Linked DNA regions of Saccharomyces cerevisiae S288C. The protein of the gene in region 1 binds, or shares a complex with, the protein of each later gene. Each region holds a gene or a part of one and is shown on either strand. Other genes may lie near its edges. A codon is read from its position in the direction of its gene.

Region 1 (8,309 bases):
TGTTTTATCGTTATATTCTCAAAAAGTACTTACAACAGTGTTTGTTCCGGGGAAAATAACATCAATTGACACAGATGCATCCTTAGACTGGATGCTAATCGGCCTTCAAAATGGTTCAATGATAGTTTACGACATAGATAGGGATCAACTTTCCTCCTTCAAATTAGACAACCTACAAAAAAGCTCATTTTTTCCGGCTGCAAGACTATCACCTATAGTATCCATTCAGTGGAACCCTAGAGATATTGGAACTGTTTTAATATCATATGAGTATGTAACTCTAACATACTCATTGGTTGAGAACGAAATCAAACAATCCTTCATATACGAATTACCACCTTTTGCTCCAGGAGGCGACTTCTCAGAAAAAACCAATGAAAAGAGAACTCCCAAAGTTATTCAGTCCTTATATCACCCTAATTCACTGCACATTATCACTATTCATGAAGACAATTCCTTGGTTTTCTGGGATGCTAATTCAGGCCATATGATCATGGCAAGGACAGTGTTTGAGACAGAAATCAATGTTCCACAACCTGATTACATACGCGATTCTAGTACTAATGCTGCCAAAATTTCGAAAGTGTATTGGATGTGTGAAAACAATCCAGAATATACTTCACTACTCATCTCTCATAAGTCAATCAGCAGAGGAGATAATCAAAGTCTCACTATGATCGACCTCGGTTACACACCTAGATATTCAATAACCTCTTATGAAGGTATGAAGAACTACTATGCAAATCCGAAACAAATGAAGATATTTCCCTTACCAACCAATGTGCCAATAGTGAATATACTACCAATTCCAAGACAGTCCCCGTATTTTGCAGGATGTCATAATCCGGGGTTAATTTTGTTAATCCTAGGTAACGGTGAGATAGAAACAATGCTATATCCTTCTGGAATATTTACAGATAAAGCCTCTTTATTCCCTCAAAATCTTTCCTGGCTGAGACCATTAGCCACGACTTCAATGGCCGCTTCTGTACCAAACAAATTATGGCTTGGTGCGCTTTCTGCAGCTCAAAACAAGGATTATTTGTTGAAGGGAGGGGTTAGAACAAAAAGGCAAAAACTTCCCGCTGAGTACGGTACAGCATTCATTACCGGCCATTCTAATGGCTCAGTTAGGATATACGATGCTTCCCATGGGGATATACAAGATAATGCTAGCTTTGAAGTGAATCTATCAAGAACGTTGAACAAGGCCAAAGAACTAGCAGTTGATAAGATATCTTTTGCCGCAGAGACTCTCGAGTTGGCGGTGTCAATTGAAACAGGAGACGTTGTTTTATTCAAATATGAAGTAAACCAGTTTTACAGTGTTGAGAACAGACCAGAAAGCGGTGACCTGGAGATGAATTTCAGGCGGTTTTCTTTGAATAATACGAATGGTGTTCTCGTCGATGTGAGAGACAGGGCACCTACCGGTGTTAGGCAGGGATTTATGCCATCAACTGCCGTGCATGCCAACAAAGGGAAAACATCTGCAATCAACAACAGTAATATTGGATTTGTTGGAATCGCATATGCTGCCGGAAGCCTTATGTTGATCGATAGAAGAGGTCCTGCAATCATTTACATGGAAAACATTAGAGAAATCTCGGGAGCTCAAAGCGCATGTGTTACCTGCATCGAATTCGTAATTATGGAGTATGGAGACGATGGTTACTCTAGTATATTGATGGTCTGTGGTACTGATATGGGCGAGGTAATCACATACAAAATTCTTCCTGCATCAGGTGGAAAGTTCGATGTGCAACTAATGGATATTACTAATGTTACCAGTAAGGGTCCGATACACAAAATTGATGCATTTTCAAAGGAAACAAAATCTAGCTGCTTGGCAACTATTCCAAAAATGCAGAATTTAAGTAAAGGCCTTTGCATTCCTGGTATTGTATTAATAACTGGATTCGATGATATCAGATTAATAACACTGGGCAAATCTAAAAGTACACATAAAGGTTTCAAATACCCGCTTGCCGCGACAGGTTTATCTTACATCTCAACCGTTGAGAAAAATAATGATAGGAAGAACCTAACCGTAATAATTACATTAGAAATCAATGGCCATCTAAGAGTTTTTACTATTCCAGATTTCAAAGAACAAATGTCTGAACATATTCCATTTCCAATTGCCGCAAAATACATTACAGAATCATCTGTTTTAAGAAATGGTGATATAGCGATTCGAGTGAGTGAATTTCAGGCGTCACTATTTTCTACTGTCAAGGAACAGGATACGCTAGCGCCAGTTTCTGACACACTGTACATCAATGGAATCAGGATTCCCTATAGGCCACAAGTAAATTCATTACAGTGGGCAAGAGGCACTGTATATTGTACTCCCGCTCAATTAAATGAATTATTGGGTGGCGTGAATAGACCTGCATCCAAATACAAAGAGAGCATCATTGCTGAGGGAAGTTTCTCGGAGCGTTCTTCAGACGATAATAATGCGAACCATCCGGAACACCAGTATACCAAGCCCACCCGTAAGGGCAGGAACAGTAGTTACGGGGTACTAAGAAATGTTTCTCGAGCTGTAGAAACTAGATGGGACGCCGTTGAAGATAGATTCAACGACTATGCTACCGCCATGGGAGAAACAATGAACGAGGCTGTTGAGCAGACTGGAAAAGATGTAATGAAAGGTGCCCTTGGTTTTTAAATACATACACTAATTCATACAGGGTAATGAGCAACTTCCTTCTATACTTATTTTTTTTTAGTTCTATATGCTTTATAAATTAATTTGAATCGATTTATTTTTCATTATACATGTCTAGTTTTACGAAGGTTTGTAAATACATGAGCTATCAAGTTTATAATCCTTTAATTAAACGAGTGACCTCATTTAGACCATCTTCATGAATTTGTGATAACTTTTCTTGAACAATAGGAACAATGTCAGCCGCACTAACCAATTCACCATCATCATCGGCAAATTCTTGGCCCAATCTTTTGACACGTAATTTACCTTCTAAGTACTCCTCCTTACCGAGGATTACGGCAATGTGACAACCCGCTTTTTCAGCAGCATCGAATTGCTTCCTAGGATTAGCCTTGGCCTTATAGACATATTCAGCTTCAATGCCAGCATCCCATAATTGCTTAGTAACCTTCATTCTTTCGGGTAAATAACCAGTCCAGTCCTTACCACCACCAAAAGCCATAACGAACACCTGTGTAGCCGTTGGCTTTATAGTTGTAGAGGAATTAATTCTTTGTTTGATCAAAGAAAATATTCTTTCAACACCAAATGAAATACCAACACATGGAATTTGAGTAGATTTTTTGCCGGAAGCTTCAGAGAACATGTTGACCAAATTATCATATCGACCACCGGCTGCAATAGAGCCGACACCAACGAATTCTGACGCGTCTTCTGCAGATTTGGCCTTCTTCTTCAATTCTGAAGCATTCTCTGGTGGAGCAGATGCAGAAGTAACAACTTCATAGATCAAACCTGTATAGTAATCCAAACCTCTTGCAAGAGAAAGATCAAAAGAGATGAATGAGTCAATGTCAAATGCTTCGGTATACTTCATCAAAGTAGCAATATCATCCAAACCTTGTTTAGCCTTTTCGTTTGAAGTAATGTTGGCATCTGCGGATAGAACAGCGTGAATTTCCTTCAAAGAACCATTTAATTTAACATACTCACCGATTTTATCAGCAGTTTCTTCGGATTGACCTTTTTCTTCGGTCATTTCCTTCTTGACTGCTTCCCATGGAGATTTGTCCAACTTATCGACAGCAGAAGAGATTTTCCTCACATCCTCATCTTTAACACCAGCGATTTGGAAGATCCCATCAAGAATCTTCCTGTGATTCAATTTGATTTTGAAATCTTTGATTCCCAAACTGGTCAAACCTTCCACTAAAATGGACAAACATTCGGAATCAGGAACCATAGATTCGAATGTGCCTGCAACGTCAAAATCACACTGGTAAAATTCTCTCATACGACCCTTAGTCATGGCTGGTTGGTCTCTTCTGTAGACTTTTGCAATGTGATACCTCTTGATACTCTGAATATTGTTCATGGCAACGTACCTGGCAAAAGGAACGGTCAAATCGTAACGTAAAGAACATAATTCACCACCCTGGTCCTCCAAGTTGTAGATCAGTTTGGAGTCCTCACCATACTTGCCTGCTAAAATTTCTCTTAACTCGAAAACAGGTGTGTCGATAGTGACACCACCATGCTTCTTGAATAGGCCAGATAAAGTGCTAAAAATGGCTTCTCTGATAACCATATCACTATCAGCCCAATCCTTCGTACCCTTAGGTGTTTTCAAAGACACTTGTAGTTTACCTTTCTTTGGAGCCTTTGAAGCTTTTAGAGCATTAGCAGCATTAGCAGTAGGAGCAGAAGTAGCAGCAGCGGTAGCGGATGACATCCTGATTATCGAAGACGACTTTATAGATGTGACTACTTTATTTAGTGATCTACTAAGCATTAAGCAAGAGACGAGCAGAAAGGAACTATTCTAAAGTAACACATTGGGCCGTAAGACTCATTTAAAAGCCCGGTCGATCAAGGCCATAAGTCATCTTCGAGCTGGTTAGAATTGAAGAAAAAAAAAAACTTGATAAAAAATTTCAAACAAAAAAATTATCGCCTTACACGGAAACGAATAGATTTACTTATTACACAAGAGAGAACAGTGATTATAAGGAAAGAAAGAGATATATACAATATTTCCATCAAAGACGTACGCATCACGGCGTTCATATAAGTATATCATCGGCAAGTCTTCACACCTTTCAATACTTAGACTTGTTCACCTTGAGTGATCCTGAAAAAAAAAAATGATGGCCGCGTTTCGAAGAAAATAAAGAAAAAATAAAGCAAACCTCAAACAAGAAAACAAAGCGGAAAATGGTAAACAAGAGAGATAGAACAGAGTAGTAGGCTATTAGCAAAAGCGCGAGAATTACTACATTATAAAGGATCTGTCAAGAATGACATTGAATAGGAAGTGCGTAGTGATACATAACGGATCGCACAGAACGGTGGCTGGATTTAGTAACGTTGAATTGCCACAATGCATTATACCCTCTAGCTATATTAAAAGAACAGATGAGGGGGGGGAAGCTGAGTTTATATTCGGAACCTACAATATGATAGACGCTGCGGCAGAAAAACGCAATGGTGACGAGGTGTATACATTGGTAGATAGCCAAGGGTTACCGTACAATTGGGACGCATTGGAGATGCAGTGGAGATATCTGTACGACACCCAATTGAAAGTTTCACCCGAGGAACTGCCACTGGTGATTACGATGCCTGCCACCAATGGTAAACCGGACATGGCCATATTAGAGCGCTACTATGAGCTGGCGTTCGACAAATTAAATGTACCAGTATTCCAGATTGTAATCGAGCCATTGGCAATTGCCCTATCCATGGGCAAGAGTTCTGCATTCGTGATTGATATCGGCGCGTCAGGCTGTAACGTTACTCCCATCATTGACGGTATTGTGGTGAAGAATGCTGTAGTGAGATCTAAATTTGGCGGTGATTTCTTGGATTTTCAAGTACACGAAAGGTTGGCTCCACTGATTAAAGAAGAGAACGACATGGAAAACATGGCCGACGAGCAAAAAAGGTCCACCGACGTTTGGTACGAAGCAAGCACGTGGATTCAGCAATTCAAGTCTACTATGTTGCAAGTAAGCGAAAAGGACTTGTTTGAGTTGGAAAGGTATTACAAAGAGCAAGCAGATATATACGCTAAGCAACAGGAGCAGTTAAAACAAATGGATCAGCAACTTCAGTACACGGCGTTAACGGGAAGCCCCAACAATCCGTTGGTTCAAAAGAAAAATTTTCTATTCAAGCCATTAAACAAGACTTTAACCTTGGACCTTAAGGAGTGCTACCAATTCGCAGAGTATCTCTTCAAACCTCAACTGATATCAGACAAATTCTCACCAGAGGACGGACTGGGACCGCTAATGGCAAAATCAGTCAAGAAGGCCGGCGCTAGTATAAATTCAATGAAGGCCAATACCTCCACCAACCCAAACGGATTGGGTACAAGCCATATAAACACCAATGTTGGCGATAATAACAGTACTGCCAGCAGCAGCAACATATCACCAGAACAAGTATACTCGCTACTGTTGACGAACGTCATCATCACAGGATCTACCTCTCTGATCGAAGGTATGGAGCAACGCATAATAAAGGAGCTGTCAATCAGGTTCCCGCAATACAAATTGACAACTTTTGCCAACCAAGTCATGATGGACCGTAAAATCCAGGGATGGCTGGGCGCCCTTACAATGGCCAATCTGCCATCATGGAGCTTGGGAAAATGGTACTCTAAGGAAGATTACGAAACGCTGAAAAGAGACAGAAAGCAGTCGCAGGCTACGAACGCAACAAACTAGTGGTAAGGCGCAAATATCCAAAAGGGATTGTAGGCGGCTAGAAGGAGATGAGATCTCGACCCATTTTTCTCAGCGCCGGTAGTAGCTATCAGTAAGGAGTAAGCGGGTTTCCTTCAAGATTCAGTCCACCCCCTACTTTGAGTGAGGGACATATAAACAAACGCGATAACTCGATGAACCCATTCTAATATAAAAAAACTGTATAAATAGTTATATAGAGATGAACTCTAAGCTAGTGAGGCCCACTGTAAACAGCCATTTTTCAATATGCGCTACCCGGCGGCGGAATATCGTCCCAGCTACATGATAGCCGCTTTTTTGTCTCTCTTTGTCCCACCTGTTCAAAGACATTTGGTAATCAGTTTGTCAGGACAATAGTAAACAAAAGTGCGCAAGTACACATGCGCTGCACGTGCGGCCGGAACAATGGCGCTTTTGGCTCGTCCGGATGATGCGAAAGGGAAAATAAAATCTCGCAATCGGAAAAACACTCGCGAGAACCAAAACAAGGATCCCCTAAACCCAGTACCCGCATACGGTTCTCCCGGGGAAAAGGGGGCGGAGGCCGGACGATGAGTGTTACCCGGATAGGACTACGGATCGCTTCGCACGTTTGTTTACAATTGATGACTGCGCTCCCCTAATAGATAAGATAAGCTCGCGAAGGCAGAAAAAAAAAAGTCTTCTACAGCAGTTGGTCCGCACAGACGATGCCAGACGGTGTTTTATCGAAAATTTTTTTCGCATCATAGTGCCATTTGTGGTCATTATTATTCCCCAAATATGCGAAAATAGTACACTATTTTTGGCAGGAGAGTAGGCTGATATGCCGCATTGATGTCCTGTGTAGCGAAACACAAACAAAAAAAGAAAAAGTAGGATGAAAAAAAGAAAAGTAATATGAAAAAAGAGTGAAAAATTAATTCATTTGTTAGTGTAAGCGGTCAGGTGTAAGTAGTAGGCTTGATAATGAATTAAAGATGACTCCGACGCATATTGTTTGCCATGTTTTTATTTTAGTTTGTAGATTTCTTTTTTTGTAATATATAAGGGAGTGATTCTATATATCGAATTCTCAGGCTTGGTTGGTTCGTAGGTTGTTCTGTCTTTGTTTTCGTTAGGTAAGAACATCACACAAAGATAACTATAGAATCACATACATATTTGTGAGAAATTAACTTCATTTCATTTATAGAAGAAGTTCAACCGAAACAAAAATTAAACATAATATAATATAATATAATCAAAAATGGCTGAAGCAAGCATCGAAAAGACTCAAATTTTACAAAAATATCTAGAACTGGACCAAAGAGGTAGAATAATTGCCGAATACGTTTGGATCGATGGTACTGGTAACTTACGTTCCAAAGGTAGAACTTTGAAGAAGAGAATCACATCCATTGACCAATTGCCAGAATGGAACTTCGACGGTTCTTCTACCAACCAAGCGCCAGGCCACGACTCTGACATCTATTTGAAACCCGTTGCTTACTACCCAGATCCCTTCAGGAGAGGTGACAACATTGTTGTCTTGGCCGCATGTTACAACAATGACGGTACTCCAAACAAGTTCAACCACAGACACGAAGCTGCCAAGCTATTTGCTGCTCATAAGGATGAAGAAATCTGGTTTGGTCTAGAACAAGAATACACTCTATTTGACATGTATGACGATGTTTACGGATGGCCAAAGGGTGGGTACCCAGCTCCACAAGGTCCTTACTACTGTGGTGTTGGTGCCGGTAAGGTTTATGCCAGAGACATGATCGAAGCTCACTACAGAGCTTGTTTGTATGCCGGATTAGAAATTTCTGGTATTAACGCTGAAGTCATGCCATCTCAATGGGAATTCCAAGTCGGTCCATGTACCGGTATTGACATGGGTGACCAATTATGGA
Region 2 (6,000 bases), on another chromosome or scaffold:
CGAAAATTTCTTCCCCATCTTAAGTAAGTCGTCTATGAGTAGTAACAGTAACCTAAGCACTTCACATATGCTACTAATGGACGGACTGGATACCCCATCATATTTTAGTTTCGAAGATGAGAGAGGCAATCATCAGCAAGTAAGTGGAGATGAAGAGCAAGACGGAGATTTTACTTTCGTTGGTTCCGACCGAGAAGATTTACCCAGGCCCGCAAGAAGATCGTTATTCCCTTCTCTAGAGACTGAAGATAAAAAATGATACTACATGTGCATGAAGTATTATGAAAAAAAGAAGTATATATTCAGGAACCGAACGGCAACAACATCAATACATAAATCACAATCATCTATATTTATTGCATTAGATTAATCACATAATATAAAAAATTTGCATTTGAATACCGGGGTCACTTCTAAATTCATAAAAATAAGCTGATTTTCATTCTAAAATGGCTCTTTTGCTAATGCAGTCTCTACCGGTACTCAGTTTGAGATCCGTTCCCCACCTGGAGGGTGGCCAAACAATTGTTATAGCTTTCCCTATGACCAACCCACTGGAAATGGGGCCAAAAGTATTGCTATCAATCGAATGAAAATAATTGTCCCCTTCGACCCATATGTGTCCCCTGGGCAGGTTCACTTGAGGTTTAGGGTATGGAAACTTCGTGTCAATGGTATCAAACGGTAAACCTTTAACCCTTTTGCAGTAAACTTTCCGAGGGTTTGTAGGAGCTTTGAAAAGGATAATGTCATCTCTAGATAAATTACTTGGGTTCTTGACTCCAAACTTCCAAAGCAGCACCCAATCTGTTGCCAGCGTTTCCGTTTGCGGGTTCAGCGTAGGCTGCATAGAGGTACCTTTAACTTGCGCAATATGGACCACATTATTATTGATTGTTAGAAGTACCGGAACCCATGAAATTGCTATTAGTGTGTTTCGTAAGAATCTTTTTGATGATCCGGCTCGAAACATTACTGTACAGTACAATGCAACAGCTTCATGAATAGCAGCACGCCTTCGTTAACAAGCACCCATCTAGTCATTCAATTAAGGCACTTGTTTTTTCCATTTTTTTCAGTAGCTCGGAACTTAGCCTCGCTCTCCTTCCGAGCTTGATCTTCCACAGTATTTCGATGACATTGGTCTACCCGTAAGTCTGAGCTCCAACGAACAGCCAGAAGCTAAGAAAGCATAAAAAAGAACCGAACCACTTTAAAATCTAGCAAATTTTAACCTTCAATTATATAAAGAGAGATTTATAGCTTTTTATTGCCTGAAACCGTCTATGCTACCTGAATCACCTTCGCACCCTTTTCTACGATATATCCCAACTCTGACATAACTTGCAAAAAGAAGGAAGACACACATTTAATACACCTACTTAGTGCCAAATGAAGACTCAGTACTCTCTAATACGAAAAATTTGGGCACATTCAGTAACAGAATTTCTGAAATCCCAGTGGTTTTTCATCTGTTTGGCTATTTTAATCGTTATTGCAAGATTTGCTCCGAATTTTGCAAGAGACGGAGGGTTAATTAAAGGCCAATATAGTATTGGGTACGGCTGCGTCGCCTGGATTTTTCTCCAAAGTGGCCTGGGAATGAAATCAAGGTCACTAATGGCAAATATGTTAAATTGGAGAGCTCATGCCACTATTCTGGTTCTGAGTTTCCTTATTACCTCGTCCATAGTATATGGATTTTGTTGCGCGGTAAAGGCTGCTAATGATCCGAAAATAGATGACTGGGTACTTATCGGTCTAATTTTGACTGCCACTTGTCCAACAACCGTGGCTTCAAACGTTATCATGACTACGAATGCAGGTGGAAATAGCCTTTTGTGCGTTTGTGAAGTATTCATTGGAAATTTGTTGGGTGCGTTTATTACACCTGCATTGGTTCAAATGTTTACTAACCGCGCACCATTTGCATACGGCAACCCTGCCACTGGAAATGGCATTGGTGCGCTTTATGGCCGTGTTATGAAACAGGTTGGTCTCTCTGTATTCGTACCCTTGTTTGTGGGTCAGGTTATTCAAAATTGCTTTCCGAAGGGTACTGCTTATTACCTGGGCTTTTTGAAAAAATACCATATTAAAATTGGATCTTACATGCTTTTATTGATTATGTTTAGTTCATTCTCAACTGCCTTTTATCAGGATGCGTTTACTAGCGTTTCTCATGTTTGCATCATATTTCTCTGCTTTTTTAATTTGGGAATTTATATATTCTTCACGGGTCTGTCATACTTATGTGCAAGGCCATGGTTCATCCTCAAGCTTTTCCCTCATGAACCAATAGAGGGCAAATCTACAAGATTGTACCGCTATTCGTATAATATCTTTAGGCCTTTTTATTATTCAAAGGAAGATGCGATTTGCATTATGTTTTGTGGCCCGGCTAAAACTGCAGCACTGGGTGTATCACTAATTACTTCACAATACGGCGATAAAAAAGAACACCTGGGTAAGTTGTTGGTTCCCTTGGTTTTATATCAAGTTGAGCAAGTCATGACGGCAAATTTCTTTGTAAGCTTGTTCAAAAGATGGATACAAAAGGACGCTCAAGCAGACGGAAGCGAGTCATCTTGTGCAAATGAGAATGAGGAAGTTGATTTGGAAAAGATCATATCAATTGGAACTGGTGAAAATCAATCCGTTCTGTCGAACAACGTCCCATATACACAACCAAGGTGATATTTCCCTTGTTAATTTTGCATGAATTCTATATATTACATAACGTTTATGTATATATTTCCCATCCTCATTGGATGGAAAAAACTAAACAGCACATATTCACACGGATTTTGGATACACGAAGCATCTATCACGTATTCTTAAAATTGCACGTCCCAAAGAGCAGCCGGTCCTTTCATATTATACTTTTCTCTTGTGATATAAAATGTATCTTTAGGATGAGTGAAAATTTGCTTAGAAACAATTTGGGCACCCAAGAATATAATCTCTGAATATCCACTTTTCTTCCACTCAGGAAAGTAATCTGGATATTTAGCCAGTTTGATTACTGTAGGACACTGTACGTATTCTATAGTTGGAACAAATGCGGTGCTATTTGTCATAAACTTGCTTTTCTTTTTTGTTGCAGCTGGTAATACGGATTTCGCTTCCTCTTCTCTTTTTGACTTCTCTTCCTCTGGCTCTATAATTAAATGGTCTTTCAGTAGTTGACCCAGTAAAGCTTCTTTAAAACCTGAAATTGAAGTAGTGCCACCGACGATGATAATATTTTCCCAAACGGCTTTAGCTTTGTTAATATCATCTATGTTATCTAACGTCAATCCTACACGATTAGAAATATTCTTAATCAGGTTATTACATCCTTGGAATCTTTGCTTACCAACTTTAATTTCGTTACCTTTTTCATCCCAAAAAGTATTGAATTCCAAGTCGCTATTTTTAACATTTTTGACTTTTTGACCACGTTCTCTTTCCTCTAAAACTTCACGTGTATCACGACCACTTGTAATAATCTCGGCAACGTTTAAAGTTCCTTCATCCTCGTCCTCATTTTCGTTTCCAAAATCGAAACTTGATAGTTTTTTGGCGTCGTCACTGAGCACCTCAAAAATTGGTGATTTTTTCAATGATTCTATCTGATCATCGTCCCATTGAGGTAGTAGTTTTTTTAGAGAATCATTAATAGACTGTCCGCCCATTGGTATTGAAGAGACAAGATGGTCTAATTGTGCATAGTCAACAATAGGAATAATATCTGTATGATGTGTTCCAACATCAATAATACAACAATTCTGCAACGAAATCATAGAATAAGTGGCCGCTAAGGAAGCCGGCAATTGGATTAGATTGTTTATCTCAAGACTTTCGAAGACATATTGAGTAATAATCTCTAGATCCGATTGCGACCAAGAGTGGTGCGTAATCAGTAGAAGAGGAATATTAGATAATTCAGCTTCAAAAGCATCTTGATTTTTATTAGCTCTATCAGACAAAATAGATACAAATATTAGTCTAAGAAATTGTGTAAAGGCGCTTATGTCTATTATTTCACCATTTTGGATTGGTTTGATTAATTCGGCTTTATTATCCTTGTTCGTTGAATGATATGTGTAGGAACCATCTTGTCTCGTGGTCCGATAAATCTGTGTTGGTATTTCCAGCTCAGGTACAGTGAATGTTTCTTCATTCAAACCAAATTGAACGAGAGTAGTTTGAGATCTGGGGTATATTATCTGTTATGAATTGTTGTTAGTATAAAAGATTAACCAAAAACTGTTCGTGAAGACTTAAAAAATCCATTGATGAACTAAATACGTACCAAAATACTGTCCTGCCTAAATGGAGCCATATTCAATGCATATAGTAGTTGTTCAAGACACTTAACTTCGCGTGGTACATTTTTTCTAATTCCGCAATATTGTCAGTTTACTATTAGAGATTTATAATGTTGAAATTTGCTTTTAGCCACTGCGCGGAAATATGTAGTATTCGTAACAAGTGACTCTAATGATATAAACACAGTAGAACTGTCATTAGAGCACATTAAATAATATGTATATCTTATTGCGTCCAAATGAACATAAAAGTGGAAAGGGAATGCCTGACCTAACAATTATCGTGATTATTGTGTCAAAAATGGTAAAGAAAACTTTTTTTTTTTTTGAAAATATGAAGGAAAGACGTGATATTTTATGATTTTTAGTTACAAATCCGGAGAGGTGTCCTTCTCCCACGGCAGCGTATATCTTTCTATTTCTACTTAACAAAAATCTGACATTATACTTTTTTTCTTTTATCAGAAAACTAGTAAAATTGATATACATCGAGATCAAAGACCTTGATGCAGTAGCTGAATGAAATTATAGGGAATTAATCCTATCCTATGATTTCTATCTATACGGTCATTATCATAAACTTCACCTTTATACCAATCTTTATTAACAATCTCAGTAATTAGCAGATAGTCGCCCTTATGGAAATTCGCTAATCCAGGTGCCTCATTTCCAATCAATGGATACATGGCCTTGGCATATTCAATGACTGGAAAACCTTCACTGGTGACAATAGGCAAGGTAACAGTAATACCTCTATCCCTGACCACACCTCTCTCATCCATGATGTTTCCTGTTTTTGTACCTGGTTTAGAACTACTTTGGATTCTTTCCATTTCGTACAAGGCATCTTCAATTGGATTACTTGAATCTTGCATTATCATGGATTGTCTATGCGTGTGCCCCCTAGACGTTCCTCTTACTGCCACAGGAGGTTTGAACAAAATTGTGCTTGTACTGGTATCTCTCCTCGTGTTATAATCATCTTCATTGAGGTTGTGCGCAGAGTTAGGCGTTCTTCCCCCATCATCCGACCTCGAAGAAGCGGATGAGGGTACTTGCAAATGGCTCATAGATTTTCTTTTCCTATTTGACGAGTTCCATGATTTGGCAAATCTCTGTGAGTCGTCTATACTATTGGCCATTGAACTTACGGATGTAGTCATAGATTCCATACTTTGTCTCTTTTTGATGTGGCTAAAATCCGTTGGATTAGAAGAACTTGATTCTGATGGTGAGCTGAGAGATTGATTTCTTTTATGCACCATTAGACCTTTTTCATCAGGATTTTTCGAATCTTCATCAGGTTTAAGTTGTTCTTCCCCAACAATCGGCCTTGGTTTATCAGGTTTCTGCCTTAACACGGAGTCATCCACATTGCTCTGTAACTGGACGGGTGAAGACCTCAAAGATAATGTTGGGTTAGCAACCACTTTTGTCTCATTACGTATGACGGGTGTGGAATTTCTAAATTGTGTAGCCATGGTGACTTCTGGAGATGGCAATGGTTTCTCATATTTGTCTATTGAAGCTAGTTTCCTTTTATTTTCGGTTTCCTTCAGCTGAGAAGATAGTTTCCTTATATTGTCCATATACGATTCGGTTTTTTTACTTGTCGTGGAGATACTGCTCATTTGAGCCCAGTTGGCGCTAGAATTCATGTCACCTTTGGAAGTCTTATGTTTCAGTC

The links. Proteins that work in one complex are often made in the same cells at the same time.
Region 2: the proteins of ARP7 (region 1) and ARP9 are in contact, whole or in part, in a crystal structure (PDB 3WEE), measured with the Saccharomyces cerevisiae proteins. Residues at the interface, in NP_015359.1 of Saccharomyces cerevisiae: Arg5 (codon at 4,990), Lys6 (codon at 4,993), Phe21 (codon at 5,038), Asn23 (codon at 5,044), Val24 (codon at 5,047), Leu26 (codon at 5,053), Pro27 (codon at 5,056), Gln28 (codon at 5,059), Cys29 (codon at 5,062), Ile30 (codon at 5,065), Thr51 (codon at 5,128), Tyr52 (codon at 5,131), Ile55 (codon at 5,140), Asp56 (codon at 5,143), Leu95 (codon at 5,260), Lys96 (codon at 5,263), Gln229 (codon at 5,662), Gln230 (codon at 5,665), Thr234 (codon at 5,677), Met235 (codon at 5,680), Asn289 (codon at 5,842), Phe290 (codon at 5,845), Leu291 (codon at 5,848), Lys293 (codon at 5,854), Asn296 (codon at 5,863), Lys297 (codon at 5,866), Thr298 (codon at 5,869), Cys306 (codon at 5,893), Met429 (codon at 6,262), Met430 (codon at 6,265); in NP_013747.1 of Saccharomyces cerevisiae: Ser118 (codon at 3,890), Ser120 (codon at 3,884), Gln121 (codon at 3,881), Ser122 (codon at 3,878), Glu125 (codon at 3,869), Gln179 (codon at 3,707), Leu180 (codon at 3,704), Asp181 (codon at 3,701), His182 (codon at 3,698), Leu183 (codon at 3,695), Val184 (codon at 3,692), Ser185 (codon at 3,689), Arg312 (codon at 3,308), Leu315 (codon at 3,299), Thr316 (codon at 3,296), Asp318 (codon at 3,290), Asn319 (codon at 3,287), Asp321 (codon at 3,281), Asp322 (codon at 3,278), Asp356 (codon at 3,176), His357 (codon at 3,173), Leu358 (codon at 3,170), Ile359 (codon at 3,167), Ile360 (codon at 3,164), Pro362 (codon at 3,158), Glu365 (codon at 3,149), Ile398 (codon at 3,050), Glu399 (codon at 3,047), Tyr400 (codon at 3,044), Val401 (codon at 3,041).

Annotation. Positions count from the first base shown.
Region 1 is NC_001148.4:634,548-642,856, forward strand, and holds ARP7 (Arp7p), read left to right. Parts: upstream 1-4,977; coding exon 4,978-6,411; downstream 6,412-8,309. Other genes in the region: Rab GTPase-binding protein SRO7, read left to right, coding at 1-2,677; HTS1 (histidine--tRNA ligase), read right to left, coding at 2,832-4,472; GLN1 (glutamate--ammonia ligase), read left to right, coding at 7,661-8,309. UniProt on the Saccharomyces cerevisiae protein: Component of the chromatin structure remodeling complex (RSC), which is involved in transcription regulation and nucleosome positioning. RSC is responsible for the transfer of a histone octamer from a nucleosome core particle to naked DNA.
Region 2 is NC_001145.3:336,115-342,114, reverse strand, and holds ARP9 (Arp9p), read right to left. Parts: upstream 4,328-6,000; coding exon 4,298-4,327; intron 4,212-4,297; coding exon 2,838-4,211; downstream 1-2,837. Other genes in the region: putative tyrosine protein phosphatase MIH1, read left to right, coding at 1-259; IMP2 (endopeptidase catalytic subunit), read right to left, coding at 440-973; RCH1 (Rch1p), read left to right, coding at 1,393-2,697; YMR030W-A (uncharacterized protein), read right to left, coding at 4,512-4,802; formin-binding protein HOF1, read right to left, coding at 4,808-6,000.